Notamacropus eugenii: one gene and its partners. Each later gene encodes a partner of the first gene's protein in a complex. Links are inferred from orthologs where the notes say so. Each region holds a gene or a part of one and is shown on either strand. Other genes may lie near its edges. The genes, in order: KRAS, RGL2, phospholipase A and acyltransferase 3-like and MAPKAP1.

Region 1 (7,339 bases):
CTCAAACTCTTAAATTCAGGACTCTGTGGGCTATATACTATAGTGCCTCTGTAAGAAGAGGGCAGCAGTGTCTGAATTCATAGTACTGAACAGAACAGAAGCAGAGGGCTACTGGTTGAGATACAAAGGGGGTGAATAAGAAGCTAGAAAAGCTGCTAGCACATTGTTATGTTTTTTGTCAGTTTTCAGATGGGGAGCTGGATAAAGGAGAGCTGTTTCTCCAGAATGTATTTGGGAAAGACACTCATTTGGGGCAATATTTGCTGAGAAAGTTTCTGTTTCATTTCCTTTGTTACAACTAATGATTTTGTGATCTTAGACCTTTAATGATCTATGCTGTGGTTTGCTTGCATTTTTTTTTCTGTTAGCATGGCTATATCTGAATATCTAGACCCCCAATTTATTTCAGATATCTTCCCATCCACGATTACCATATTATTATATTATGTTATATTAATCATATCATATCATAACATATATCATATCATATTACATTACATCATGTCATATATATTATGTTTATAATATATCAATTATATTATTTATATCAATTATTATATTATCATCAGTGTGTTTATGAAGTGAGTAGAATCTAGTCCAAGTGAACGAGTAATTTGCAAGCCCCTGGAATTCAGATAACTTGTCTTTGTTATCTTCAGGGTTAGTCCATTTCTCTTCACATAGGTTCTTGCTATTTATTAAAGATGATAAACCTAGCATTAAGATACATTGGTCTGGCAATATGTTGGGTCTATCAGAGGACAGAGAACTTGAAGGCTATTGTAGCAATCTAGGGATGGGGATGAGGACTTGTACTCTGTACTCCAATAGTACTCTTACTGTAAGACAGTGAGAATGCAGAGGAAAAAACTGATAAGAAAAGATGTCTTGAGAAGATATGATGACTTGGATGTGTGGGATGAATAATAATTTTTTCTACTCTTGAAATGTTCCCCTCCTCTTTAAAAAAATTTTTATGCATATATTTTGTTTTTCTATCACTTATATTAACCAAATATCTTTCACCCTACTCTCTTTCCAAGAGATATTTTCTTATAACTGTGGAATCATATTAAACCCCTTTTTTTGTTCATCTGAAAATATCAAGAAATAAATATTAATCTAGTCTAAAGTCCTTTTTCCTGTAGGAAAGTGTGGAAAAGGTCAATAATAAAAGCTAAGGTCCCAAGAATATGAATTCAATATGGTACCCAAACTTAGACGCCAAAAAAAGGAGTTAAGATCATTGCTTTTCCATCTCTGGAGGAGAAAGGCTGTGACCTACTTTGGGACATTGCCCTCTTCATTCAAGAAGCATTTATTAAATTCTTACTATTAAGTTCAGGGGAAACAAATACAAGCAGAAACAGCTTGCCTTCAACTAGTTTACATTCTAGTGACTGGGAAAGAATACATAGAAGGATATTGAAAAACCTGAGTGGGTGGGGACAAGAAGAAGGGATGAAGGTCCCTGGGGAGTGGAGGGGATTGGCATCAGGTCCTGGTAATGAAAGTCTGGGACAGTATGGAGAGCAGTTTAGAGAAGATTTGACTGGCCTGGTTGCCCTCCCTAAATTGCAGGTTCTGAAGGAACTAGGCAATTAGTGGGACAGGCAGTGGGGGAGAAAGGTAGCTCCTATGTGTGAAGTCAGAGTATCATGAGCTTTCAGGGTAAAGCAGTTCCTGAAACTATACAGTTGGGGGTCGATGAAGACTGAGGACAAAGGATTAAGATACTGATTACCTGAGAGAGAAAGCTTTTTTTAATCCTGGTAGGTGGGTGGGGAGTGGTCAAAAGAAGAATTGAATGCCCTTAGGAGAAGTTTTCAGTGACTTATTCTATTAGATTGAATAGAAGGTTTATTCAAAATTGAATAAATTCCTGTGAATATTACCTCAAAGTTGCCTTAGGGTAGAGAGGAGAGAGAGAGAGAGAGAGAGAGAGAGAGAGAGAGAGAGAGAGAGAGAGAGAGAGAGAGAGAGAGAGAGAGAGAGAGAGAGTGTGTGACAATATGACATTTTGACTATTTTTCCAACCTACAGATGCCTGGATTTAGAACAAGATTAAATTAATTTCTGGATGACTTCTGCTAAAAACACAAAATATAGTATTATCTTTTCTTCAACATGATAAAGAATAAAGAGACAGTTCAGCAATATTAAACAGTATCAAAGTCTTACTTCATATTCAGTGCACCACACCAATAATCCCCCACCTCTGCAAAAAGGAGCCAAGGTATCTTTTCATTTGGAGCCATGCTCGGTCATTATAATTTCACAGTATTCAGTTGGGATCGTTTTGTTCTTGCTTTCTCCCCCATTTACATTCTAGTAATTAGTGAATATATTGTGCTTTCTTCACCATGCATCAGTTCATGTAAGTATTCCCATGCTTTTCTGTATTCATCATTTCTTATATCATATTCTATTTTTATATTTTCTTATATCACACTAACAATATTAATAATCAAGTAATATTGATTTAAATACATATAACCCTGGAAAAATAGGTGCTATTATTATCCCCATTTTACAGATGAGGAAACCAGGTTAGGAAAGGGAGTTTGAGTGAATTGACCAGAGTCACACACACAATATCAGTTTGAGGCAGGATTTGAATTCAGGTCTTCTTGATTTCAAATCTAGCAGTCTATCCACAATTCGACCTAGCTGGCACAAACAGTTCCTTCCCAGAGAAGAGGATAAACAATTATGCTGATAAAGCAAATACAAGAAAATTTTAGTTGGGAGAGAGTACTCGAGAGAAGGGGGAGGGGGGAGGGACACCAGAGTTGGGAGATTATGATAATAAAGGCTTCAGGCTGGAGGTAGCACTTCCGTTGAGCTTTGAAGGAAATAAGGGATTTTAAGAGGCAGAGGTGAGGCTGGAATGTATTTCAAATCTGGGGAACAGGTAGCCTTCAAAGACTTGGGTTCCAGTGTTTGACATCTATTGACTGGCTGACCTTGGACAAGTCACGCCCTCTCCTAAACCGCTCTTTCCTGGGTTCTTAACGCTTTTTGGGGGGGGAGGGGGAATGAAGGTGTGGGTGTGTCACAGTCCCCTTTGATAGTCTATGGAATCCAGTAGATACAGGCATGTTTCCAAAACAGTTCAGAAGGATTTGTGATTTAAAAAAATGCTATGAGAAAGAACCGATGGACTCTGAATGCAGAATGAATGAAGCACATTTTTTTCTTTTATTATTTTTGCTTGTTGGTCTGAGTTTTCTTCTGCAACTTGGCTAATATCGAACTGTTTTGAATGACCGCACAAGTGTAATCTATATAAAATGGCTTGCCTTCTCAAAAAGGGGGGTAGGGACGGATTAGGAACTCAAATTTTTTTTAAAAAAGAGTATTAAAATTTTACTGTACACGTGATTAAAGTAAAATGCCTGAAATAAAATACAAAGTTTAACAACGGGAACTCGTATTGGAGTTATTTTTTTTAAAGTTGGCGGACCCCAGCTCCAAGACTACCAATTGTGCTGCCGGTGCTCACCCACATTTGTAAAGGGGGAGGGGGCTCCCAATACCAACGGAACACAGGTAGAGAGGGGGAAGGAAGAGGCGCGGGATCGGGGACGGAGAGTCCTCCCGTGCAGCAGGACAGGCTTTGCGGGCGGGGAGAGGAGGCGCCGGAGCCGGGCTTTGCCCGCCGAGGTGGATGGACAGAGCCGAGGGCCATGAGGACGCGAAGAGCAGAAGACGCGCTCGGGGCACCTGGGCAGGCCCGTCCGCGGCTCTAGACTAGGGGCGGAACAAGGGAGCTTCTCCAGCTCGGAGGGTGCCTGCGGGGAGACCCGAAGGTGTGGCGGCTCGCTCCGACTCGATGTGTAGGAGGGGGAGGAGAGTGTCTACGACCAGAGACAAGGTGAGTGGCTGGAGAGCCGCGTGGGCGGGAGTGCGGCCGGAGGGCGGAAGGGGATTGGCCAGCTGGCAGCCTCTGTGTGTATGTGGATGGATGGGTGTGTGTGGTGGGGGGGCGGAAGGGGGCCGCTACTCTGTCAGGCTGGGCGTGGAGTTAGCCAGTGCTCTAGCCTCTCCTCCTCTAGCCTAGCTCCGCCCTCACGTGAGGTGCGCCGCCTGCCCCAACTCTCTTCCTCCTTCTCCACTTAGCAGTTCGAGCTCAGTTCTCGCCTGACTCCCTCCTTCTTTCTCTCTTCACACCGCCCTGGCCGTTCCCTCTTCTCTCTCGCCCGCCCGAAAAGAAGTCGAACGCGGAACTCATCGATAGCTCGGCCTTCGCGGCTCGCATCCATTCGCTCGGGACTCGACTTCCCCAGGCGGTGGCGGCGGCGGCGGCGGCGGCAGAGGCGGCAGCAGCAGCGGTGGCTGCGCCTCGGGCTCCGGCTCCTTCTGCGCTCCCCGGCCCCCGCCATTTCAGAGTGGGCTCGAGAGCGGCGTTAACGCAGGCGGCCGTGCGGGCCCGAGACGCAGCGTCTCTCCGGCGCGGAAGAGAGGTACGGGCCCTGCCGCCCTCCCCCCTGAGTCCCTGCCCGGGGTCCGACCTTTTCTCGCCGGCGCCAGGCTGGGCGGGGCGGACGGAGAGTGAATGAATTAGGGGTCCTCGCGGGGGTGGGGGGTGGGAGGGACGGAGCGGCGGCGAGGACGGGCTGGGGGGGGGGGGGGTGCAGGGAGAGGCTGCCGCCGCTTCCTGAACGGGAATCCCCTTCCTTCTTTCCTTTCTTTCTTCCTTCCTCCCTCCCTCCCCGGAGAGCCGGCCGGGCTCGAGGCGAGCTGAAACTCGGCCGGCCCGAGGGCGGGTCCGGGCGTGGTGGAGGTTGCGCCCCGGTCTGCCCGTCGGTGGGTCGGCGCACTCCCTCCTGGCCGGCTCCCCGCCTCGGCTGCCCGGCGACGTCCCCCCTGCCGCCCTCAGCATCTCCCCGAGCGAGCGAGAAACTTCTTTTGCCGCCGCCGCCGCCGCTAAGTGGTCTTCTTCCTTGTGAACAAAGACTCTGTGTGTGTTGTGTGTGTTTGTGTGTTGTTGGGCGGGGGGGGTCCTTTCCCAAGAGAACTGAGAAGTAGGCAGAGACTCGGTGTCGGAGGTTACGTTGGGGAGGGTCCTGCTGCAGCCGCCGAATTCCCTCTGTGGCTCGGCAAGTGGCAGCAGAAAGCTCCAGGTGGACGGAATTAAACCTGGCAGGAGTTGTAAACGGAAAATGGTTTATCCCGGAGAATTTTGCTGAGTCAAGTTTATTTATAAGCAAGAAAAAAAATCAGCCACAAACTAAAAGTGGTTATCTCTGGTGAAGAACGCAGAACACGTTCACCATCCTGGAAGTTACTACAGTAATACCGAGCTGTAACCGAACTCCAACATTTAGCAATAATGACCAGTGGCGAGGACCTGGTAGTGGCCGCCAAAACAACCTAGTGCAGCCTTTTGATCAGGTGTGTGTATGTGTTATAGCTAAAGCTGCAGACTGGCTGATGTTTACAAGTGCAGTAGTAAGCATAGAGAATTAGAGAAGGGAAAATGGCTATTGATATCCAGACAGTCTTAACATTAGTCATTGATTGATGTCCATATTGATGGACTCAGCTTCAGAATGATAAGACTTTATTCACTGAAGGTAGTTGATGGCAATTAGGTGTTGTTTGGAACCTAAGACATGTTCAGATGTAGCCTGTTTTAAAAACTTGAATTTTCAGAGAGAGGTAAATTAAGAGAATATTATTTACCTTAAAATGCTCAATTTCTTTTCTTGACTATGCACTGTCACTTAACCTCTTTCTGACTCAATTTTCTCATTTGTACAGTGATGAGCTTGGGGTGGTGTAGTGGATGCAGTGCTAGGCTTGAAGTCAGAAAGGCCTAAGTTCAGATCCAGCCTCAGACACTTACTAGCTGTGTGGCCCTGGTCAAGTCACTTAACCTCACTTTATCCGTAAAACGAGGATAGTAATAGCAGCTATTCCCCCGGGTTGTTGTGAGAATCAGATGAGATAATCATAGTTGTAAAGCACTTGGCATAGTCCCTAAAACTATCTAAAGTGCAGAGAATACTTTGGTACAGAGAATTTCCTCACCTCGAAGTTCCCTAAACCTTTGAAGTGAGAGTCTATCCCTATCCTTTGAATGAAATTAATGCAAGGAACACCAGATTGCTAAATTAGTAAAAACAGCAAGTTGATTTTGAATCTTAGCCTTGTTACTGTGAATCAGTGGGCACTCAGTTCATTTTTCTAAACCTTAATTTTTTCATTCATAAACTTACCCAGATAGCCTGAGGGGAGAGGGTTGGACTAGATGATTTCTAAGGTCCCTTTCAGTTCTAAATACTATGAACCTATAATATAAAGGATTTAAATAAGTAGATTTGAGGGGAAGACCCTCAAATGAGTAAAGGCACTGATAGAAAAGCATGTGACTGTTCAGCCACTGTGGACTCTTAAGTGTTCCATTTTGGCAGTACCATAGAGTATATGAAGGAAAGTAGTACAAGAGAAATCTGGAGACTGGAGCAGGATTGTGGAGGTCATAAATGTCAGACCAAGGATTTTGCACTTCATGGTTAACTTTCATTGAGTTAGTACTTGCTTTTTGGACTTTAAGGTAAGCAGTTTTGGGGTGGGGGGCAGGCGTAGGAGCTGGGAGTTGAAGTTATGGCACAGATTCTACATTTATTTAGCACACTGTGCTGTTTGCTAGTGCGCAGAGCAAAAGGAAAGAGCTCTCCCCCCTTCAACGAGCTTACATTCTATTCATGGAAATAGCATGGGCATATGAAATACAATACAAAGTATACACAGGATTAATATGAGTTAATTTGGGAAGGCATTAGCAACTTTTGTGAATCAGGAAAGGCCTTGCATAGGAACTGCTACTTAAACTTTGAAGCATGGTAGGTTTTCTCCATGCTGTTTGTTGTTGACATTACACAAGGAGGGCCAAATAGCACAAGATTCCTTGCTGTAGTGGCTAAGAACTAGGCTAATGCAAGTTCCTTGTTCTCATGTTGGAGGGAAATGAGTATGGAACAAGATAAATTAAAAGGCTATTCTTTACCTGGCACAAAAACTTTTGGAGCCTAAGGACATTACCTGTTGGAGAGTAGGCTGGGGAATGGTATATTTGACAAACTAGAATATTTGGATTTTGATCTGTTTGGATATTTCTTATTCTTGTGTGAGCCAAATAGATAGACCTTCTGTGTTTTTTTTTCTATGTACACTTATGTACAGACACTGAATATATTTGTATGTGCATTCATTCACACTTCAGTAATTTGTTCAGGAACTGATATCTAATTTTGGATTATTGTCAGTTCCCTTCTAAATGGTATTGATTGGCCTTTCTTACATGTACTTCTTTTTTCTTTGGTTCCATAAA
Region 2 (7,131 bases), on another chromosome or scaffold:
GTTTAAAGGGCTATATCAGTGACTACACAGATCTCAAGGCTGAGAAGGGTTAGCCTTTCAAGGGTCATAATGCTCTAGATTCTGATACACCCCTCCCATCTCAGGCACCCATCTGCTGGGCCCTGTCCTTCACAAGACTGAGTACAAAACGATACTATGTAGGAGCACAGAAATGTTGTCATGGTCACCAGGGAACTGAGAAAGGGAGTTAATGTCAAGGTGACCAGGGGCAGGGCAAAGTGCAAGGGTCTTCCTGCCTGGTTAACTGATGGAAAGATAGAAATTGGATCAAGAGAAAGGATATTGAGAGATGGGCCCCCTAAGTGGAGTGTCCTCATTAATTCAATTTCTCTGCATTTTTTCCCATTTCACAAATTCTTTCCCATTCTTCCCTACGTTCCTATTTCCTTTTACCATCCCCAATCTTCTCCCATACCACCAATTCTCATTCACTCTATCCACTTTCTCCACTCATTTCTCTCCCTTTTGCTGCATTCCTACTAATTCATGCCCAATTCTCTTCCTTTCTCCCCATTTCTCCATCCCAAAAGCTGTGTTGACGGTCCTTTCTCACTCTCCTGCTGCCCTGGTGAGGCCTGGTAAGAATGCCACGTTGGACTTGAGTTTTACTTACTTGCCTCCCAACTCTGGTGGGGCCCCTTCTTCCCTGGGCCCCCCTCCCTTCGGGTTGGAGTGGCGGCGCCAGCATCGGGGGACTGGACAGCTGCTCTTGGCCGTGACTCCAGGACTGAGCAGCCAGGCCCTAGGGTCTCCAGAGGGGGCAGTGGCATTTGCTGCCTGGGACGAGGAAGGAGTAGAGGGCCCATGGAGTGGGAATGGGACTCTCCTGCTGCCCACCGTACAGCCTCACCAGGAGGGTACTTACCTGGCTACCATCCACCTTCCTCACCTGCAAGCCCAAGTAGCCCTAGAGCTGGAAATACGGAGTAAGTGAGGGAGAGGACTGGACAGTGGAATACCTGAAGTAGGGAAAGGGGCCTGCGACTGAGATGGGGAGGGGGAGTGGGATGTGTGGAGAGACATTGAGTCCCTAGGGGTATTGAAGGCAAGATTGAACTGGGAAGAGAAAGGGTTTCTGGGGACTGGGAAGAGGTCAGTTAAGGCTCCCTAGGGGAAGACAGATGAAACTAAATGGTATAACTGTGTTTGATTACCTCCTTGGCACTGATAATCACAATACTCTTCCTCCTTCCTGCAGAGCCCCCAAAAGTGACCCTGACCCCATCACCTATGGTCTGGGCATACCCAGGGCAAGCTCCTCCAGAGCTCCTCTGCCTCATTTCCCATTTCTACCCTCCGGAAGAGCTAGAAGTGACTTGGGAGTTTTGGAATCGTACAGGAGGAGGGAGCAGGGTGGCAGATGGCCAAGCCTGGCGCTCCAGCTACCGCTATCACCCAGATGGCACCGTCAGCATCTCAGCATACCTGCGCCCTGCCACGGTTACAGTGGAGCAGCATGGTTCCCGCTATGTCTGCCGGGTCCACCACTCCAGCCTGAAAACCAAAGGACTCAGTGCCCAGGTGTCTTTAGAAGTGGCAGGTAAGGAAGGACAGGGTGATGGGAGAGGAAGAAGCCTGTGGGTCCAAAGGGCTGGGAGCAGAAATCCCAGACAGAACAGATATGATCTCCCCTCCACCCCCAGGAGTCTCTGGGCCTTCCTTGGAAGATGGAGTAGGGTTGTTCCTCTCAGCATTTCTCCTTCTCGGGATCATCAAAGGAATGGGGTGGGTTGGTAAGTCTCTGTTCCTCATCCTCAAATCTGGGGGCTCCTCCCCACAAAAAACCTGGGAAAGGCTAGTCCCCTAAAACTTCACCCTATCAGTCCTCCAAACAGCAAGACCCTTGGGCCATACTGCTGAAATTTTTATTCACTATTTCAAAATCCCACCTTCATTCTTCTCCTTTTATAGAAATTTCTGCATATGCTCCCCTCCCACACACCCCAATACATAACACTTCACAGGCCTGAGGTATGTAACCAGTCACCATTCTCACCTCCATCTCTCCTCCACAGCATCCTTCCTGTCTCCTTCCACAGATACAAAGGAAAAGGTAACTAGCTCCCTGGTGGCTTACATCCTACTGTACTCTCTTAAAATAGAATTTCAGCCCCCATTTCATCTGATCCATTACCCATATAGACTTTTTATTTTCCCTACTATCAGTCTTTAAAGTCACCCTACTGTACCTCCTAAAATTCCTAGTGGTCCTGACCTTGGGCAAATTACTTGTCATATCTAGGGCTCAGCTTCCTCATTTGTAAAATGGGGTGTGTGTGTGTGTGTGTGTGTGTGTGTGTGTGTGTGTGTGTGTGTGTGTGTGTGTGTGTGTGAGAGAGAATTCGTTTACTTAACTCCCCAATGCCCCCTATTGCCTATGATGCTGCACTTTCATTTTTTTTCATTCTTGCTTCCAGAAATCTCACTGAAAAAAAGATACAGGTGCTTAGAGCTCCAAGAGAGTAGGGGCCGATTGATAAGGCGGATCGGAGGTGGTTTGGCTAAGGAAAAGTGTGTCTGTCAGGAGAATAAAGCTGGATTAAACAGAATAGTTCCAGTTGTGGTTAATGCATCCTATGATGTCCCTGTTCCCTCTGCCCCACATCTCTTCTATATTCTTAACTACTGAAGTTTAACTAGGTTTTTTTCACCTAGGGCAAAAACAGTAGAGACCTCCCCTCCAAGAGGAAGTGGGGGAATGTGGTGCCCAATTTTTAGGTGTGTGGTGTGTGTGTGTGCCTCTCCCCACACCAATAGGGTGAGAAGCTTGGCTGTTCTGGAGAGGGAGGAAGGCTTCCAGGAGCTCTGGGCAAAAAATGGGGGACACTTCAAAGTCTCAGTTGCGTCCAGACCTTGAGAAGGTGGTGGACAGCATGAAGTATTCTAAAAAGGCTCTCAAGAATTCAAGCGACTGAGGCCAGGCTATTCAAGGAGGGAGATTAGTTTAGCACGATCTAGAGCGTTGCCGGGGAGACCTGGCACCTGGGACTTCAGGGATGGTGCAGGAAGAGAGGGGCTTCAATTCATCAGTCGAGACCCCAGCAGAAGTAAGTCCCGGGACGATGAACCCGAGGTCTCGGGGGAAGTTGCTGGGGTGGGAAAGGACCTGTGGGTTCCCCTCCCTATCTTCCACTAGCTGATAACCCTCTCTTTTAGCCCGGGAGAGCTCTGCCCCTTGCGTCACCATTGTTTTGGGGTTCAGCTCTAGTAAGGACCGGTCCCCAGGATCCGCACTTGTGTACCCAGGCTCCTCCTTCATTGCGGCAACCCCTTCTTCCCTGGGCGCTGAGGCGGCTTGGGGAAGCTGGGAATGCGGAGTCCCCAACCTTTCCCACTGGCCCGTCCTCAGGTGAGGGGGGCGGAGCTAGGATTCTGGTCCTCAGACTGCGGTGGAGAGAAAGGGACCCCATGTGCCAGCGCCAGGACCAAGCCCTATCCTGTCCGCCCTGGTTACGGTTCTGCCGCAGCCCCTCCCCTGGCAGGTGCCCACCTGCCTCTCAATAGTGCGCATGTTTGGAAAACAGGTACAGAATGGAAGGACCCTGGAAAACGGGCTCGCCCAGCTCCAAAGAAGGAGCCTCGGCCCGGGAGAGCCTAAATCCCGGAGCCCAGGGATCCGGAAGAGGTTACGGTAGCTCACCCGAACGCTCTCCTCCGCCCCCCAAACCCTGCGGGCCTCGTGGAAAACCCGTACTGGATTCCATCTCCGCCCCATTCCCGAATAAGAGCGAGGAAGGGAGGTGGCGCGAATTAACGGGACACAGTCCCAGTCCAGAACACTCCTGGCTGCGAGGACCCTGGTCATTTTCCCTAACTGGACGGGCGTGGGAGTGGGCTGTAAAAACTAGAACTTGGGGACCGGATTCCCCAAAGAGGGAAGGCTTCGGGGCTGGGGCTGGGGGGTCTTGGATGCCTGGCTATCTGATGGGGTGACCCCCCCCGCCCATCATACACCCAATGTCCGGGCTCTGGGCACACACCTCCCCCTCTCGCCTCCCTGTCCTTTACTTCCTTCCCTATTTGACTCCTGCCCTCTGAGCGGGCGGACGCCGGCAAGGAGGAGGGAGGGGGAGGAGGAGCGGAAAGGGAGGGGGGGGGGCGGAAAAGACAGGGAGGGGACTCGGGGCCCCGGCCTGAGACCGACGGGAACAGCTGCCCCGAGGCCCGTGCCGCCCCTGCTCCGCCCGGAGCCAGGTCAGAGCCCCAGAGCCCCTCTCTGCGCCCAGACGCCGTCCCCTCCCCTGGGTCGGCTCCCAAACTCTCTCCGCCCTCCTCCTGCCAGATTCCCCACATACCACCCCCTACACAAGTCCTCTCCCAGCCCGCACCCACCCAAGCCTCCCTCCCTGGTCCCCCACTCCGACACAGCGTCCCCCCATCCCCGCATCTAATGAACTTGGGCAGCTGCGCCTGGCTCCGACCTCGGGTCCTCGCTCCCCAGCCCCTCCCTGGTGGTCCTGCCCCGCCTTCCCCCACCTTGACGCCCCTCCTTCCTTGTTTCTTCCCAGGCAGCCCCATGGCTCGACCCCGTTGACTCCCTAAGCCCTGATCTCAGCCATGCTCCCCAGGCCCCTGCGGCTGCTGCTGGACTCTGGAGGGGCCTCCCCTGGGGGAGTCGTGCTGAGCGGCTTTAGGAGCCGGGACCCCGAAGGGGGCGGGGGCCCAGGGGTGGGCGGGGAGGAAGAGGAGGAGGAGGAAGAGGAAGAGGTGAGACTTGGGGGTAGCTGGAGGGCGACGTGCGCCCGAAAAGTGTGCCTTCTTGCAGGTCTCTTCTTTCTCTCTCCTACGTCTGCCTCTGGTTTTGTCTCTGGCTCCGGGTCCAGGCTCCGGGTCCCTGTCTGTCTATCTGACTGCCGGCCCCCCTGTCCCCCTGTCACTGTATCTCTTAACTCTGCACCCTCCGTGTCCCTCTCCGGCCCTTTGCCCTGCTGCTGTGCTGTCTCCTTGTTGTTGTTTGGGGAGGAGGGGTTTGTTTCCACAGTAACTCGATCCTCTTGATCTGGGATTGGGGAGGAAGCCCTCAGATTTGTGACCCCTCCCCTAAGCCATAAGGGAGAGCCTGGGGGAAAGGCCCAGGAGCTTCCTCCTCTCCTGGGAGGGGCAGCGCCGAGGCCCAGGGGTGGAGGTGGAGGTGCTGGGTGTCTGGGTGATGGAGGGTCAGATGCCAGAGTTTCTCCGGGGATTGGAGCTGTGTGTGGGGCCTGAGGGCCTGCACTCCTCGGTCCCTGGGCTGGGTTGGAGGATGTGACCTGCTGGGCTGGTTTTTCGGGATTGGGCGGGGGAGGGACTGGGGCCACGTGACTTTTGAGTTTTTCTCCTCCCCCACTCCAGCTCCCAAGTAACCCCACTTCCCCTTCTCCTTTCTGCCTTAGGATCGGAGTTGCTACCTTGGGAAGGGGTCCTTGGGGGTTGAGAGGAAGGAAAGACAGAGGATTTGGGGGGAACTCATTGAGGGATAAGGCTGAGGAGCAGGGAGGGGACAGGGTCATTCCCCAGACTCAGACACTACCTTGATTGGGGGGGGTGGGGGTGGAGAGGAGAATAGAAGTGAAACTATGTAACTCAAGTTTCAATTTCTTTCTCCCCAAATCCCCGAGTCTCCTTGTCTCCATTGCTTTCCGCTTCTTTGCCATTGTCTTGCCGTTGTTTAAGGGTTCGGCTCTGGGAGGGAGGGGCCCCCAGAATCTGGGCTTGTGTACCCAGCGTCCCCCTTCACTGCAGCCCCCCCCTCTGCGCCGGGCACTGAGGCGGCTTGGGGGGGGCTGCCTCATTCCCAAGGCAGGGGATGCAGGGTGCACTCCCCGAACCCGCTGGTACTGCCCCCCTCCTCAGGTGATGGAGCAAACTTTGAGAGTGAAAGGGGGATGATCGGGGAGGTGGGGAGGCAGCTCAGTCAGCTCAGATGAATTGGTGCTGACTGGGCCCCACCCCTTCCCTTTCCAGGCCCCGGTGTCTGTCTGGGATGAAGATGAGGACGATGCCACCTTCACTGTCACAAGTCGTCAGTATCGACCTCTCAGTCCCTTGGTGAGATCCTCTTGTCTGACTTCTATGCCTTTATCTCCCTTGTCTCCTACAATCCAACTTCCTGAAAATAGCATTGAAACTAGGGTCAAGAGACCTGGATTCTAGTCTCTGCTCTGCCGCTGATTCTATTATTTTCAGCAAGAAACTCTGTCTTTGAGCTTCAGTTTCTTTATACTTCCAATTTCTAACCCTTCTAAGACACCTGGTGACTCTTCTGCTGACGCCACAGATATCCTAGAGTTCCTCAAGTCATCTCCACTGGCTAGCTCTTACACGTAGTCATTTGAATCTGACTTCTTAATTGGGGGGGAGTAAGTGAAGAGTCAGTAACCCCATCCCCTCTTCTGCAGGTTCCTATGCCTCCTCCTCGTTGTACCCGTCGACTTCGGGCTGGGACTCTATCTGCTTTGGTCAGACATCTGCTGGATGCCCAGACGTCTGGGTCTGACGTGACCTTTATGCCAGCCTTTTTGGCCACCCACAGGGCATTCACCTCCACACCAATCGTACTTGGATTGTTGGTTGACAGGTCAGTGGGAATGGGAGATTGGAGTGTCTGAGGAGTCACCTGGCCAGAGAAGTCAGAGGCCACAGGGTGTTTAGGTAGGATGGATAGATGGACTTCTCTCTCTTCCTTCCAGACTGGAGGCTCTGGAGTCCAGTCCCAGTGCTGATTTGGAAAGGACAAGAGGGTGAGTGACCCCTGAACCTTTGACCTCCTGATCCCACTCTACCCTAGCCATGGCTTAACCCCAGCTTGATTTCTTACACCAGGCTGATCCCCTCCCCCCATAGGTTAACCATCTCTGTTCTGTCAACCTGGCTGACCTCTCACCCTGAGGATTTTGACTCTGAGGTCAGGGGTCAGCTTGACCGGCTTGAGAGCTTCCTGCTACGGACAGGGGATGCAGCAGGGGAGGTTGTTGGGGGGGACATCGTTGATCTCATCAGAGATCTCCGATCCCGGGTGGCCCTCCCAGCCCCTGACCCTCCTAAGCCCCTGGTCCCCCCTGGCGATCCCCCTGCTGACCCCACGGATGTCCTGGTGTTCCTCGCTGACCACTTGGCCGAGCAGCTGACCCT
Region 3 (7,223 bases), on another chromosome or scaffold:
GAAGTCATAGGGTTGGGGGGAGGAGTTCCCCCTTCAGAGAAACTGGCGTTTGAATCAACCCATTAGGAGAGAGTAAAGCTGATAGAAAGGAGGACACATGCCAGGACCTCCCAGTTATGGGCAGCTCCCTTGGACAGCTGTCATCTGTCACCTCTCATTCTTACAGCAGGGCATGTGCCCAGACTTGGCACTGGGGGTGATGCTAAAGCAAGCAGACAGAGGCGAGAGCCTTGTTACCCAGAATATGGCCTGTGTTGTGCTGTCCTCTACTTTCTCCTGGTCCAAACAGAGAGGATCCAGGGTATCACCCTTCCCCTACTGCCATGGTAGTGCCTCGAAGGCCCTCCTTGGTGACCATGGCAAAAGAAATCTAAACGTCAGACCTGGCCAGTACTAAGCAAAACTGGGAAGGAGGCAAGATTCCTCTTTGACCTTACTCTCTCTTTTGGGACATGATGCAATGCTTGACTAATTCCAGCCAATTCCCATGGGCAAAAGATGACCCAAGCCCTCAACTGGCATCTTTCTCTGCTTCCCTCAATCAAAAAACATGTCCTCTACCATCTATAACTCATACAGGTTACAAACGAATCCAGAACATTAAGAGAAACTAGTTCAACTAACTCTTAGTAAGGTATCACAACTGATGGTGACTTAAATTCTTATCCCTTTCCCAGGAATTTCCCTCAGAGGCACACAGTCTTAAGTCAAAGGAATGAATCTCTAATTATGAAATTCCTGAGGATGGTACATCCTGATATGTTTTGGCAGGGAGCCCTCCCAGTTCCCTCAGATTTCCCCATGTGGGCCAAATCTACTCCACTTTTTTGGTGAGGTCCTCTGCATTACCCCACCTCCTGCTCTGGCTGCTGTCATGGCTGCTTGGGAGACTCATCTCCAGAAGACTCTGGCAGAACGCTCCTGAGCACCCAAGTTATTCCTGTCCTATATACAGTGCACTTTGCCTCTGGAAGCAGTGAGCAGTTTGCACCTCTCAGAGATGCCAACCCTTAGGGCTCTACAGGCTCACAAATCAAGAGAATGGGAAGAAGGATGAGAAAACATCCTCTTTTCTTTAAATATCAGCAGAGGCCTATGGATGTGATGGAAATTCTGACAGCCCGTACTCCAAGATCCCCCAACTCTGACATCCCATGCTGAGACCCCCCCAAATCTGACATCCTGTTCTAAGACTCAATGCTGACATTCTGTGCTCCAAGACCCCCCAGCTCTGACATCCTGTTCCAAGACCCCTTAACTCTGACATCCTGTTCTAAGACCCCTCCAAGTCTGACATACCATGCTCTGAGACACCCCCCCCCCCAACTCTGACATTCTAGCTCTGACATCCTGCACCACTCTCCTCTGGGTTAAGCAGGTTAAGACATCTCGTATCTCAAGACCCTCTCCCCCAGCTCTGACAATGTTCTCAGTTTCACTTCCACTGCCCAACTTTTGTACCCTGTCCTGTGTTCACAAAAAGGAAAGTCTTTTCTTTCTTTAAGCTTAAGTTTCAGACTAAAGCAAAACTGAAACCTGGAAGGCTTTGAAGCTCTGGTCACCAAGTGAGTTGGCAAGCCCATCTAGAACAAACATTGAGCCATCTGGTATGAGGCTTCAGGCCTCCCTGACCTGTGTTCCTCCAGATCTTGCTCCAGTGGCCGCACACCCATTCTGTGCTCTTGCTAAAGAAGGTTCTATTTCTCTGCTAGCTCTGTCTTTATCCAGCTCCATTCTATGCCCCTATTGTCCTGCGACCAGCCCACAAATGAATTCCCGATACTTCCTCTGAATAATAGGCAGATTCTGTATCTTGCTGGGCAGCCAGCAGTGAGTGCTTGCCTGGTAAACAAAATGAAAAGAAAGCCTGGTCTCACGTTGCAAGTGAGGCCAAAGGGCCCTCAAGAGCCGTGGCTTTAGGGTTTACTAACCTCTCTCCCCTCAAGTCCCCACCTACAAGGGCCAAGCACTAATCCTTACTGTAGTGACTTACAAACGCTTTAAAAGTACCTACTTGCATCTCTGTCAGCCCTCAGGGTGTGGATGCCACTTCCTTAGCCGTTGGAGGATTCCTGAGAAGAAATGGTAAGAATCTCTAGTGTCGATAACAGGAAGTAAGAATAGAAGGTCTTGGTGGTGAAAGGGGAGGTGAGGGTGGGGTCCCTGAGGCCAGCGGAGCTGGAGGCTGGACCCCGCCTCTTGCTTGCCAGAGCCTAGGCACTTGTTCTCCATCCCTCCCCTCCTGGTCCCATTTGGCAGCGAGCAGGGCGTTCCTTAAACCTTCATTGGACCTACATGGACCACTGAGAAGAGGAGCATAGATACCTGGGAGGCGAGGGCTGAGGCTCCGGCCTGGCACGATCGCGGCTCACTACTGACAGCTGTCTGTGCCAGTGGGAACCTGCTGACTCCGACACTTTCTGCCAGAAAGCGCTCTCTGGGCGAGAACGCCTCCCCCAACGGGTGGGGAGGAGGGGGAGCTGGGCACTGCCCTGGACCACAGGTGCCCTGCCCCGCCCTTCTCCCCTGCCTGCTCCAGTGCAAAGATCAATCATCTAGAGCCGCCCCTGGAGGGCCCAGAGGACACATACAAACACACCGAGAGCACGGGGCATCCCACCTTGGCCAACCCACCTGAGCTTCCTGGGCCTTGACTGATGATCCAGCAGCGGCGGGGATGACTCCAGCAGGCAGGACGTCTGCAGGAGGTCCGGCGCACAGCTGTGACTGGGTCAGCCCGACTCCGCCCAGACCAAAGAGCGCAGCTTACCCTGAAAGCGAAAGTCGCCTCCGTGACAGCCGAGCACAGGTGGCCTCGTGGTACCCTGGGAGCGGGGATGCTGGCCCAGCCTGGAAACTCAGCTAGTATGCAAAGGTCCCAGCTAGCCGCAGGGCTGCGGCTCCCACCCTCCCGCCGGCCGTGGGCGGGCTTGGCTCTGGGCTCGGACATGTGGACAACGTCGTGTACTGACCCAACCCTCAGCCTGGCAGCCTGCGGGGAATGTCAGCTGTGCTCTGAGACCGCAGCCCCTCCCTTGTAATCTCAGACCTTCGCCAGTGTAACCACCCCCACGCCCTAGCCTTTGCTGGAAGACCTCGGGATGGGGAGCCCAGCACCTATTCAGGCAGCCCTTTCTACTCCTGGGCGGCTCGGAGAGAAGCCGACCCTGCGCTCCCCAAAGCGGTCCCAACTCTGCCCTCTGGGGCCACATCAATCAAGTCTAATACGCCCCGCGCCCCCATCCCACTCCGCTCTGGGACAGCCCTTTCAGTCCACTCCAACCCGGCCTTAGTGGACCCCATACGTTTTCTCTTTTCCAGGCTGGCTTTTCCCAGGTCCTTCAAGGGAAAGTAAGGATGATCATGGAATCACAGGTCTACAACTGGAAAGGACCCTCCAACCTTCACATGTTACAGATAAGGAAACTGAGGCCCAGGGAGGGGAAGGGACTTTCCTGACTAATGTTAAATAACATGATTTCCAGATGGAATTTCATCAGATTACCACGACCTTGTGATTTAAGAGCTATAGGCATTATTTCCATTTTATAGATGGGGAAACTGAGTCTCAGAGTGGTTATGTAACCTGCCCAAGGTCACACAGCTGATGTCTGAGAGAGGATTTGGACTTGCATCTCCCTGACTACAAGTACAGACATCTAGCTCTAGGTCATGCTGTATCCCAACTGATCTTCCTGTGCGGAGGTCCTCACTGCCCTCCTCTGGACAACCTGCAGCTCAATGGTCTTCCACATGTGCCCTGACCAGAACAGATAACACAGCCCCCTTCTTCCCAACTCCCAGGCCAGGCCTCACTTAAAGCAGCCTAACACAGCATAAGCTTTCTTGGCTGCCCTATCTTATCTATCAAACTATGGGCTCATATTGAATTTGAAGTCCACTGTGACCCCTGGATCTTCTTCAAGAAAACTGATAACTAACCAGAACTCCCTCTTCTTATACTTAGGAAGTTGATTTTTTGAACCCAAGTGGAAAATTTACATTTACCCCTAATCAGGGTCATCTAACAAGATCAGTTTTCTGGTCTTCTTGGGATCTTTTCTGAGTGAAAATACTGAATTTGGAATAACGGGTTCAGGGGTAAATTCCAGCTCAGCTACTTGCTACCTGTGTGACCTTGGATGTCACACCTTCCCTGGCCCTTGGTTCTCTCATCTGTAAAATAGAACAGTTGGACTGGGCGACCTCAAAGGTCCAGCTTTACGTCTTTATTCCTAAAAAATGAGGATCTAGGGATCACGAGCTTGGAGAAAAGAAGGCTGAGGGGGGCCACGTCAGGCATCTTCCAGCATGTGTCATTCTAGTGCAGAAGGCAGAGTAAGACTGGCCATCAGGGAAAATTTGGCAACAATCTGAACTCCCCCCCAAAAGGGGATGAGATGCCTCAGGAGGTGGTGGGGACCCCTTACAGTCTCTGAGCACAGTCTGGGCAGCAGGTTGGCTGGGTTGGATACCCAGGGACGTCCTCTGAAGCTCTAGGCTACTAGCTAGCTCTCCTGGCCACCTCTGCCTCCTCGGAGGCACTGGAGTCTCAGAGGCTGTCATTGGTGTTACCAGAGAGATTGGCTTTGAATATTGTCTCTCAGGGACCAGCCCAGCTATATTTGGCAATACTAGGTTAGCCTCGGGTCAATTTTCCAGGCAAAGGATCACTCCAAGACTATCTAAAGTGGTAGAGAGATTAGGGTGTCTGTTAAAGGAAAGCCCATCCCAATAAAAGTAGCCTTCTTTGAAGGGTAGTCTTTTGCCATTTAAGGACCTCTACATTTAAGGTAGAGGTCCTCATCCTCTCCCAGCAACATCCACCCTCACCTCCCTGCTCCCCTAGCTCTGGACAAAGGTTGTCCTGGGCACTATACCCACCTCTGCCCCGTCCTCTCCCTAGAGCTGCTCTAATCTGCTACAAAGACAATAACTACACACACATTGAAGGCTGGTCATCAGTCAAGTAGCCAGGTGGTCTTGGCAATAGAGCACTGGACTCTACAAAGGCATGAGGATGGCACAGGAAATGCCATGGACTGGGCATAGCCAATGGGCTAGTTTGACACAAATGTGTTTGAGATAGGTCAGAATCAAGTCTTAAAGGCTTTTAAATGCAAGGTTGGAGTTTGTAATTTGTGTCAGAAGCAACAGAGAGCCACAAGCTCCTGGAACAAGCCAAGAAAAGTGACTGGCTGTGTCCTTTACGATCACCAATCCTAACACATAAGAGCTGGAAACTGCCCAGAAATGTGGGCCTGGGGACAGCCCCTGTTGTTTCACACAGGGGAAACAGGTCAAAGGGAAAGGGTTTGCTCACACTGCCTCTAGTTCCCTTTGCACCTCACCACATTCCTCGTTCTGTTTCCAAGTCTTCCTAGAGTAGGTGCCCTAAAATGAGCCAGCAGCACACATGGATTGGCAGAACCACACATGCAGGGGGGAGGGTTGTGTCTTTCTCAGAATGTCACCTCTCTGTGGGCCTCTGGCTCCAGCCAAACCAAGTGTAGGCTAACACAGCCACACGCTGTCTGCCAGATGAATAGATATCCAGCCCTCTGCCCTTTAAACTGGGCACATAAACGCTCTGGAGACCTCTGCCCAGCATCTTCATCGTCCACATTTGGCAGTATCCAGAGCGCTAGAGAGAGGTAAGGGGCCATTTTTAGAGGACTATCCCACTCACTTCTCCCCAGCTTTGAGGGAGATTAGAGTGGTTTCCATGGGCATTGCTCATCCCCCTGGAATCACTAAGGACCCTGGGATCCTGAACCAGACCTGAAAGTTTAGGGAGCAAAAATGGAGGAGAGTTCTTGGCCCTCCTACACCTTTCTACTCCAACCAGCACTAAAACCCCCAAAGCCATCAGCAAGTTCAACCAAGAGGAAGAAGCGTGGGCTGCGGTCTTCTGTCCCCAGCTAGGTCTGAAAGGTGCACATGTAACCCTTCTCTACAGGATCCTAAGGAACTAACAAGGAAACTTTTGATTTCCTCTTTTTAAACAACACCCATTAGCTCAATAATGTGTCAGGTGAGGAGGGCAGCTAGCTAGGGAGGAGGAGGAGGATGGGTCATCCAAGTTTCCTAGACTAAAGAGCTAGAAAGGACCTAAGAAATTTCCCAATCCAAACTCTTGATTTTACAAATGAGGAAATGTTGGCTCAATGAGGGGAAAGGACTTTCACCAGAGTCACACCCCAGGGCATGCTGTCCCTTAAGTTACAGCACCTCTCTCAGGGGTCCTGTTTCTTTGAGAAGTCTCCAAGAGTGAAGAAAAGGCAGAATGCAGATGCAAACAGGTTGTGGTCTTTATTCCATTACACAATCTCACAACTCTCAGTGTATGTGATACAGAGACATGCACACTTCTGGTTAGAGTCCAGCGTACGGATGGATGGATACACACTCATCTGATTGCACTTTTCCAAGCTAACAAACTAAAAAACAGACAACCTGCTGGGTGGGAGTCCGTGTTGGACCAAAGTCACCTGCAGCCTACGTGAGAGGCTCCCTGGTAAAACAGAGGGCTGACAGGTGACCCTCTGACCAGTATCTAAATCAGGAATCTTTGGGAATCAGACGAAGTGCATTCTTTGCTTTGGCACACATTGGAATCCCCACATGGACAACAAAACAGTAATCTTGGTCTGTTAAGGAAAGATTTTTCAAAGTCTATTGAGAGCCCCTCAGAGCTGCCTTCAGAGCTACTGGCCCCTGCAGGGCAAGCTCCCAGAAGCCAGGTCATAGACCTCTCCTATCCCTGATTCTATTTAGGGCCTAGAGGGACATTTTCAATGTTTGAGCAACTGGAGTAAGAGGATCCAGCTGGTTTTCTAATAAATAAAACAAAACAGCAGCCCAAGTTGATTTAACCAACTTCCTAGTTCTATTCCCATCAGTCAGTGACCAGAGACAGGATGAACGAACGGCACCATGACCTCCTCCCTGTCCAGCCCAGGACACCTTGGGTGGGTGGGGTCCGCATCTCCTGAGCTGCCACCATCCACCACCAGGGACAAATTAACCCTGGTCACCACCTATTTAGATTTGGCACTAGGACATCTATTATGACCCAACTTCTCTGCTCCCCAGGCCCAAGAGGTCACTAGAATATTTCACCCTACTCTTAGCTCCCAAATGTACCCATCATCCTGTATACTAGATTACTTTGAAGGTCAAACAAAAAGTTCCTATTTCAAAATGTCAAACTAGGAAGTTCA
Region 4 (7,136 bases), on another chromosome or scaffold:
TATTTTGGACTCCTTCTGAGCCCAACATAACACACCATGCTACATGTTGGGGATACCTATTTCTTTTGGAGAATTACCTTTGTTCTATTTAGTCTCTCAGGATTCTAACCTCTGTACTTTCCTTAATTCCTCACGCTGACCTCATCCCACATATACAATCAATTCCACCTTCTATATCTTTTGCATCTAACCCCTCTTCTCTACTCACACAGCTCCCATTTAAATTCAGACTTAAAAATCACTTTTCACCTAAATTATTGCACCAGTCTCCTAACTGATCTCTCTGTCTCAAGTCTCTCTCCACTCTAGTCTGACCTATATCCTGCTGCTAAATGATTTTCCTTCATGGAAGATCTGACCATGTCAGTCTCCTACTAGATTTATTCTAGCGGGTCACTACTGCCTCTAACATTGAATATAAAGCCCTGTGATTAGCTTTTAAAGCCCTTCACAACTTAGCTCCAACAGATCTTTGCAGACTCATGAATATTACCTCTTGTCCCATTCAGCCAAACTAACTTTCACTCTGTTCCTCACACATGCCACACTCTTTCATCTTCTGTCTTTTTCCTGGCTATCCCCAAGGACTAGAAGGTAACCTGCTTTATGATGCAGCTCAAGTACTATCTTCTACAATACAGCCTTTCATAATCTCCCCAACAGCTAGTACCCTTCCTCCCAAGAGATCTTGTATTTAATAACTTGATATTTATTCTCATATATTTTAATATGTACTTGTTATCTCCTCACTCCCACCCTCCCCATTAGAATGTAAACTCCTTGCCAGTAAGGAGTGTTTCAGATTTTGTATCCTAGTGCCTTACATAATGTCCAGTATATAAATGTTTTCTGATTGATGAGTTGATAGAAGAAACCTAACAGTCTTGTGCCATCAAACAAATATTTGTCCAAAATACTATTTGTGGTATAGTTAGAAAAGGCCTGGTGTTAGAGACATAAGATCCAGGCTTCTCAGATGTAAGCTGTTAATCTTCTTATGATGGGTGGGTGGGTGGGGGGAGTCAAATTGTTTCTGACATTAAGTAGACCTAATCACAGAATGTCAGAGCACAAACACAGAGAGACAGGAGAGGGCAGGACATACCTAGGGATAAAAATGATAGCTTAGATTTACTTAGTGTTTTCAATCAATCAATCAATAAGCAGAGTGCATGAAGATTAGTGGAGTGAAATAAAGCAGGAAAGGTAGGTTTTACTCAGATGAGAGGTCATACATACAAGATCAGGCATTTGAATTTTATGCTATAAAAAATAGGGAGTCCACTGAAAATTTTTTGTGCAGGTGAATATGTTTGTAAACTCAGTCCCAAAGCCCGATGTCTTGCTGCAATATAGCAACACCTGTAGAATGTTAGTTTTAAAAAGATAAGCCTTTGCTTTTGGGGGCAGTAAAAGAAAAAAAAAATTATATACGCTAGAAAGTGGAGCAAAAATAAGAATTTAGTGTTAACTCAGTCCTCGCAAAGTAGGAGAGGCAAACAAGAAAGCAGAAAAGTAACACTACATTCAGAGAGCAATGAATAAAGTGTTCTCTTGAAATGTGGATGTCAGGTTTACTGATTAGTCGCTGATGATGTTTGTAACAAAGTCCCCAAGTATAAGATTCTCTCTTCTTATTAGTGGAGATCAATGTTTCTTGCTTACGTGAAGGGTCAGATAAGAGTTGTTGAGATTGGGAAAGAAGAAAGTTCTTCACTTTCCTTTGAGTCTTCTTTGAGTCATCATTTGAGTATTTTTGGGTGCTTCTGTCTCTGGACATTTCTGGCTTTCAGCTTCAAGAGAGAAGATGGAAAATGCCACTTCAGGTTGCTGAAGTAAAAGACTGGCAAGAAGCTAATAGAAGAAGAGCTGTCAGTCTGGCAGTCTCCATCTTGTTTTTTTCCCCAGCTTGCCTTTGCCTCTCTCTGTCTCTCTCCATGAATTACCTGGCTTTCACTGGTAGAGCTCCTTTTCTTTGTATTTTCTGGTATATAATCTCTGATTTCTGTTTTGCTACTGATTCTTGGATTAAGTACTATGTGTCTTTACTGAGGAACTGGTATCTGGTGGGAAATGAGTCAAACCTTGGATAGAAAACCTGGGATCTTGCTCCCCCTTGATAATTATCAGGGATCAGAAGTTAGCTTGAACTTTAAAACCTTATCCTTCTTAGACTAACAATATTAAGGTAGCAGATAGATATTATTCTAGCATGGTCTCTCTGAGGAGAGCAGTATGCCCTGTGGGCTTCAACTTCTTGCTTCCCCTCAGGCAGGAACTAAAGTTTCCTTTGGAAAAGGGGCTAAAGATGTCAACTCTGCCTCCCTTTGAATCACACAATAACATCCCTATGCTACATATGGGAGGACAGCCCCGTGTAACACATAGGGCCATGACACATATTCAAGTCTGTTCGTTGATTTTTCTGGTCAGAACATCCCCTAGGAAAGTAATCTTGAGTCAGGGACTAAAGTTTTCTCAAATCACAACTGCTCACCACAGAGTACTGGGCTTGGAGTCAGGAGTCAGGAGTCCTAAACTCCTCAAGCTACTTACTAGCTGTATGACCTTTGGCAAGGTGTTTCTCCTTTCTGAACCTATGTTCTTGTTTGGTAAAAGGATAATTGATCTAGAGCTGTAAGGGACCTCAGTGGCTATCTAATTCAACCTCCTTCTTCTACAAGAAGAAAGCTAGGCACAGGGAGGTGCACAATGTCAGAGAGGTAGTGAGCCAAAGACAGAGTGTAGTTTGAAATAGATCACTTCTAAGTCTATTCTGGGCAACTAGGTGGTACAATGGATAGCATGCCAGGTCTGGAGTCAGGAAGATTTATTTTCCTGAGTTCAAATCTGACTTTAGACACTTTCTAGTTGTGTGACCCTGGGCAAGTCACTTAGCCCTGTTTGCCTCCATTTCCTCATCTGTAAAATGAGCCAGAGAAGAAAATGGCAAACCACTCCAATCTTGCCAAGAAAACTCCAAATGGGGTCATAAAAAGTTGGACATGACTAAACAACAACGAAGTATCATTCCAGTTTTAGATATTATGAAACTTATGAAGGGGAAGGGAAGTCAAATCAAAAAGCATTTATATTAAGTGCCCATATATACCAGGCACTGTGTCAATCATGGGGGGATACAAAGAAAGGTAAAAACAATTCCTTCCCTTAAGGAGCTCACAATCTAATAGGACAGATAAAGCTTAACTTAAAAATAAATAAGTCTGTTCCCTGTCTGCAACCAAAGTACCTATGTTAAGAATTCTAGCTTTGAAATCGGAGGAATTGGGTTTAAAACAATGCTCACTTAACTACACGTATGACATAGTAGATCACGTATTTTCAGTGTGTCCAGGGGTGAAGGGTCTGCAAGGTCAAAACTATTTTCATCATGATACTAAGATACGATTTACCTATTAAAATACTTTTACCTTCTCCAAATACATATCTGTATGAGGCTGGATTTCTTCACACATTTCAACCAAAGCAACACATTGAATGCAGCTTCTATGAACCTATCTGTCCTCTAGTAAGCCAGACGTTAAAACGATTTGCTAAAATATATAAAGCAACGCCAATCTTCTAATTTTTTCTGTTTGGGAAAAGTGATTTTCATAAATAGTATGTTATTTATGTTAACCTAATGGATTTGCTATTTTAAATCAGTAATAAGTGTTTTTTCCTAAAAGGTATCAGTTTTAATTTCTAATGCAATAAATAACGTTTTAAAACATATAAAAGCCGTCCAAGATGCTCAGTACTTTTTAAGAGTGTAAAGAGGTCGTCAAAAGACCCCAAAGTTTAAGAACTGCTGCAGCAGAGAATACCCCTGGGTAGCAGGAACAGAATCTGCTCAATCCTCCTGGGCCTCCGTTTCCTCCTTTTAAAATGAACAGATTTGGATCAGATAGTTTTAAAAGTCTTTTGGACCCTAACCTGTGATACCGTGAGCTCCAGTTCCAATGACACCTGTCCGATCTGAAACAGCCAGGGAACTCACTCAAAAGCCGGTGGGGGCGGGGGGGAGGGGGGGGGGGGAGGAGCAATGGCGCATGCGCAGAGCCCCTGCGCCGGTCTGGGTCACAGCTAGAGGAAGGAGCTTTCGCTGCTGGAGCTTGCGCACTGAGGACCTCAGAGTGACTTCCGGTGCGGCCACCTGGGGTGAATCGGGGTCGGGTTCAGGGTGGCACAGGGAAGCCAGAGATGCAGTTCCGGGGCACGGCACAGTGCCTGAGCTTCTGAGCTGTGGCTCAGGCTGCGGGGGCCGCGGGGCCGGTCCGAACCTGGCTTGGGGCAGGAGGAGAGCCCCGGAAAGTGGAGCGGAACCGGTCCTGGGAGGAGGGCCCCGGCCCAGATACCGACCCTCCTCCCACCCCCCGCGCCCAAGCCCCGAGGATTCCAGTAAGTGCGGAGGTGCCGAGGGAGCCGCGGGCCCATCCGGGGACGGGGCTAGTACCGTTGCCCTCCTCCCTACGGGCGGGTGGTGGAGGGAGGGGGTGCTGCGTGAGGACCCTGGAGTCCTCGCCTTGTGTGGGGAGCGGCAGGCTCGGGGGTTGGGCCCGGCCTGGCGTGGGTGCCCGGTCCTGCCTGTCTCTGGGGAGGAGTGACCAGGGTTACCTCCACCGGCACCCTTGCCCCTTGCATTGGGAGCAGCTCTGCCCCCTCCGACCCGCAGGAAGTGAGCCTTCCTCCTTCCACAGGCGCGGGGTGGTGGTGGTGGTGGTGGCCTCTGTGCCACTAGACCCCGGCCTCCTTTTAACCTCTGCCTCAGTTTACTCATCTATAAAATGGGGACAGGGATGGAACCTACCTTGAAACGTTGTTGTGAGGATCAAATGAGACGGTATCTGTGAAAAGCGCGTGGCACGGTGCTTGGCGCAAAGAACGCGCTGTGTATTCTTTGCCCTCCCCACTTTGGATTTTGGGGGTGATGTGGATAGAGCCACTTCTGGGTGGAAGTAGATCGATAGTGAATGCAGGCCGGTTATATTTCAGTGTATCACAGCAACTTGACAGTCAAGTCAGTAGGCATTTATTGAGCCCTTACTGAATGCCGATCACTGTGCAAAGCGCAGAGGATACAAAGAAATGCAGAAATGATCCCTGATCTCTTAGAGCTTACATTCTACTGGGGAAAACAACATACAGCCAACCTTGTACATACAAGATATATGCAGGGTGAAATGGAAGTAATAGGGGAAGAAGCACTAAGATTGAGGACTGGGAAAGGCATTTTGCACAAAGTGGGAGAGTTAACCCCAAACTTCAGTGAAGTCAGGAAGCAGAGATGACCAGGGAGAAAGGAGAGTTCCAAGCATGGGGGACAGCCAGTAAAAGATATCTGGAGTTGGAGGTGGATTGTCTTGTGAGAGACAAAAAGGCCAGTGTTGGACTTTAGAACATATGGGGAGGGGAGGGGGTAAAGCCTAAGAAGACTGGAAAGGTAGGAAGGAGCTAAGGCCTAAAGAGCCTTTGAAGCTAAATAGAATTTTCTGTTTTGTCCTGGATGTGATAAGGAGTCATACGAGTTTCTTGACTAGGGGTATGACATGGTCAGACCTGAACCTTTCTTAGGAAGATCAGTTTAACAATTGAATGAAGGATGGACTGGAGTGGGGAAAGATTTCAGGCAGGGAGATAGACTAGAAAGCTATTACAATAGTCCAGGCTAGGATGATGATTATCACCTGGTTGGTGGTAGTCAGAAGAGAAAAGAAGACATATAGGACACATGTGTGGAGGGTTAAATGGAGAGGAGTTGGAGGCTGGGAACGGAAGGGGAGGAGAGTGAAGAATTGAGGATAACAATTAGTTTTTGAGTCTGGATAACTGGGAGGATGGCTTTTATAGTAAAAGGGAAGTTCAGAAGAGGGGAGTGTTTTGGGAACATATAATGAATTTAGTTTTGGATATGTATTACAGTTGTGTCACAGACTGAGTTAAATCAGGGAAGCATCATTGTAGAGGCAAAACTAATTCTTGGTTCCCACTCACCTTTCTTTTATTCCACTTCACACATACTCTATTCCAATCAAATCAGCCTGCTAGCAAACTCTTCCCTATACTTGACTTTTTTCTCCCACCTCAGGTGTTTTGGTCTTTGTAGAGGCCATCCATATCCCTCTTTGGAAAACAGCTCTCTCATCTTAGCCTCCTACAGTCCCTAGCTTCCTTCAAAACACAGTTCAGATGTTACTTTCATTTGACTTTCCTAATCTTCCGTCTTTTGGAAATTACTTTGCATTACTTTGTCATACCTTTTTTACTTTAAAATACTTTCCATTTAGTATATGTGAAGCGTTTTGCGTAATTTTAAATCACTGTGTTTCTTTCTCATGCATTGAAAACTCCTTGAGGTCAGAAATGTTTTAGTTTAATATTCCAAGTGCTTACTTAGCACAGTACCTTGCATACAGATGCACAATAAACATTTATTGAATAGAAATTGGAAGGTACCATAGAATATAGTATGTTAGAGTAGCAAGGCATCTCATAATGTGTAATGTTAGAGCTGAGAGGATTCTTGGAACTTGGTATGTATACAGGATGTCCCAGTAGTCTTAGTGCAGACTTGGGACATCCTGTATTTCTGTGGCCGAACAGTAGTTTACTTAATTGCTCCACTATTTCATCTGAATGCTTCCTCTGCTAACTCCAAATACAAGCCTGCCATACTTTAGAAGACAGTTCTCTTGAGTTGTTTTGCCGGTCATCACCTGTTGGCCAACTTGCTAGTGAAAAGCAATTTAAGATGACTTTAAGGCTTTTTAGAGGGAGCTGACTCCCTGTTTCTTCTGCTTATTGGGTAAAACTTCAGAGTAAATACTGATTTTAATTTGTTGTCTTTCCACAAAGTTTTCATTCAACCTGTTTTGTTTTCATTAAGTGATATTCCCTTCCCTTCCCCTCTCCCAGCAGCTTTCTAAGTACTAACAAATTTAGAAAGCTGAACTGTTGCGGACATTTGCACATTCATAGAATGAAACCTGCACCATCAATATCTGCTAGATTTTAAGTGTCAAGTATGTATAGTAGGGATTAAACACTCATACCCACATTACCAGCGGTGTGAGGTCTTTGAAAATCACTTCTTTAAGTCACAGTTTTCTTTAAATAGTTTATCTGTAAAATGGGGG

The links.
Region 2: the proteins of KRAS (region 1) and RGL2 are in contact, whole or in part, in a crystal structure (PDB 8B69), measured with the Homo sapiens proteins. The link is inferred for Notamacropus eugenii from reciprocal best matches to the Homo sapiens genes KRAS and RGL2. Residues at the interface, in NP_001356715.1 of Homo sapiens: Ile24, Gln25, His27, Val29, Glu31, Asp33, Pro34, Thr35, Ile36, Glu37, Asp38, Ser39, Tyr40, Arg41, Lys42, Tyr64; in NP_004752.1 of Homo sapiens: Ile651, Arg653, Glu660, Asp661, Gly662, Ser663, Val664, Tyr665, Lys666, Ser667, Ile668, Leu669, Lys685, Lys686, Asn688, Arg689.
Region 3: the proteins of KRAS (region 1) and phospholipase A and acyltransferase 3-like are in contact, whole or in part, in a crystal structure (PDB 7C41), measured with the Homo sapiens proteins. The link is inferred for Notamacropus eugenii from reciprocal best matches to the Homo sapiens genes KRAS and PLAAT3. Residues at the interface, in NP_001356715.1 of Homo sapiens: Ala11, Gly13, Lys16, Ser17, Tyr32, Asp33, Pro34, Thr35, Ile36, Thr58, Ala59, Gly60, Gln61, Asn85, Asn86, Lys88, Asp92, Tyr96, Lys117; in NP_001121675.1 of Homo sapiens: Leu65, Tyr66, Asp67, Val68, Ala69, Gly70, Ser71, Asp72, Lys73, Tyr74.
Region 4: the proteins of KRAS (region 1) and MAPKAP1 are in contact, whole or in part, in a crystal structure (PDB 7LC1), measured with the Homo sapiens proteins. The link is inferred for Notamacropus eugenii from reciprocal best matches to the Homo sapiens genes KRAS and MAPKAP1. Residues at the interface, in NP_001356715.1 of Homo sapiens: Ile21, His27, Val29, Glu31, Asp33, Pro34, Ile36, Glu37, Asp38, Ser39, Tyr40, Arg41, Leu56, Glu62, Glu63, Tyr64, Ser65, Ala66, Met67, Asp69, Gln70; in NP_001006618.1 of Homo sapiens: Phe280, His287, Gly288, Phe289, Ser290, Leu291, Ile292, Gln293, Lys307, Lys310, Arg311, Arg312, Lys313, Gly314, Ser315, Phe363, Glu365, Ile369, Val374, Met377, Leu378, Ser380, His381, Tyr484, Glu487, Ser488.

Annotation. Positions count from the first base shown.
Region 1 is NC_092874.1:180,489,080-180,496,418, forward strand, and holds the start of KRAS (GTPase KRas), read left to right. Parts: upstream 1-4,338; 5' UTR 4,339-4,466; intron 4,467-4,885; exon of another isoform or gene 4,886-4,963; intron 4,964-7,339. UniProt on the Homo sapiens protein: Ras proteins bind GDP/GTP and possess intrinsic GTPase activity. Plays an important role in the regulation of cell proliferation.
Region 2 is NC_092873.1:89,326,377-89,333,507, reverse strand, and holds the start of RGL2 (ral guanine nucleotide dissociation stimulator-like 2), read left to right. Parts: upstream 1-4,126; 5' UTR 4,127-4,215; intron 4,216-4,529; 5' UTR 4,530-4,578; coding exon 4,579-4,728; intron 4,729-4,767; exon of another isoform or gene 4,768-4,786; intron 4,787-5,327; exon of another isoform or gene 5,328-5,853; intron 5,854-5,964; coding exon 5,965-6,048; intron 6,049-6,398; coding exon 6,399-6,577; intron 6,578-6,689; coding exon 6,690-6,740; intron 6,741-6,822; coding exon 6,823-7,131. Other genes in the region: TAPBP (tapasin), read left to right, coding at 552-947, 1,220-1,561, 1,665-1,754, 2,037-2,074, 2,439-2,450. UniProt on the Homo sapiens protein: Probable guanine nucleotide exchange factor. Putative effector of Ras and/or Rap. Associates with the GTP-bound form of Rap 1A and H-Ras in vitro.
Region 3 is NC_092873.1:16,507,219-16,514,441, forward strand, and holds the start of phospholipase A and acyltransferase 3-like, read right to left. Parts: upstream 3,002-7,223; 5' UTR 2,635-3,001; exon of another isoform or gene 2,326-2,634; intron 2,073-2,325; 5' UTR 2,021-2,072; coding exon 2,015-2,020; intron 1-2,014. UniProt on the Homo sapiens protein: Exhibits both phospholipase A1/2 and acyltransferase activities. Shows phospholipase A1 (PLA1) and A2 (PLA2) activity, catalyzing the calcium-independent release of fatty acids from the sn-1 or sn-2 position of glycerophospholipids.
Region 4 is NC_092872.1:448,188,669-448,195,804, reverse strand, and holds the start of MAPKAP1 (target of rapamycin complex 2 subunit MAPKAP1), read left to right. Parts: upstream 1-4,119; 5' UTR 4,120-4,401; intron 4,402-7,136. UniProt on the Homo sapiens protein: Component of the mechanistic target of rapamycin complex 2 (mTORC2), which transduces signals from growth factors to pathways involved in proliferation, cytoskeletal organization, lipogenesis and anabolic output.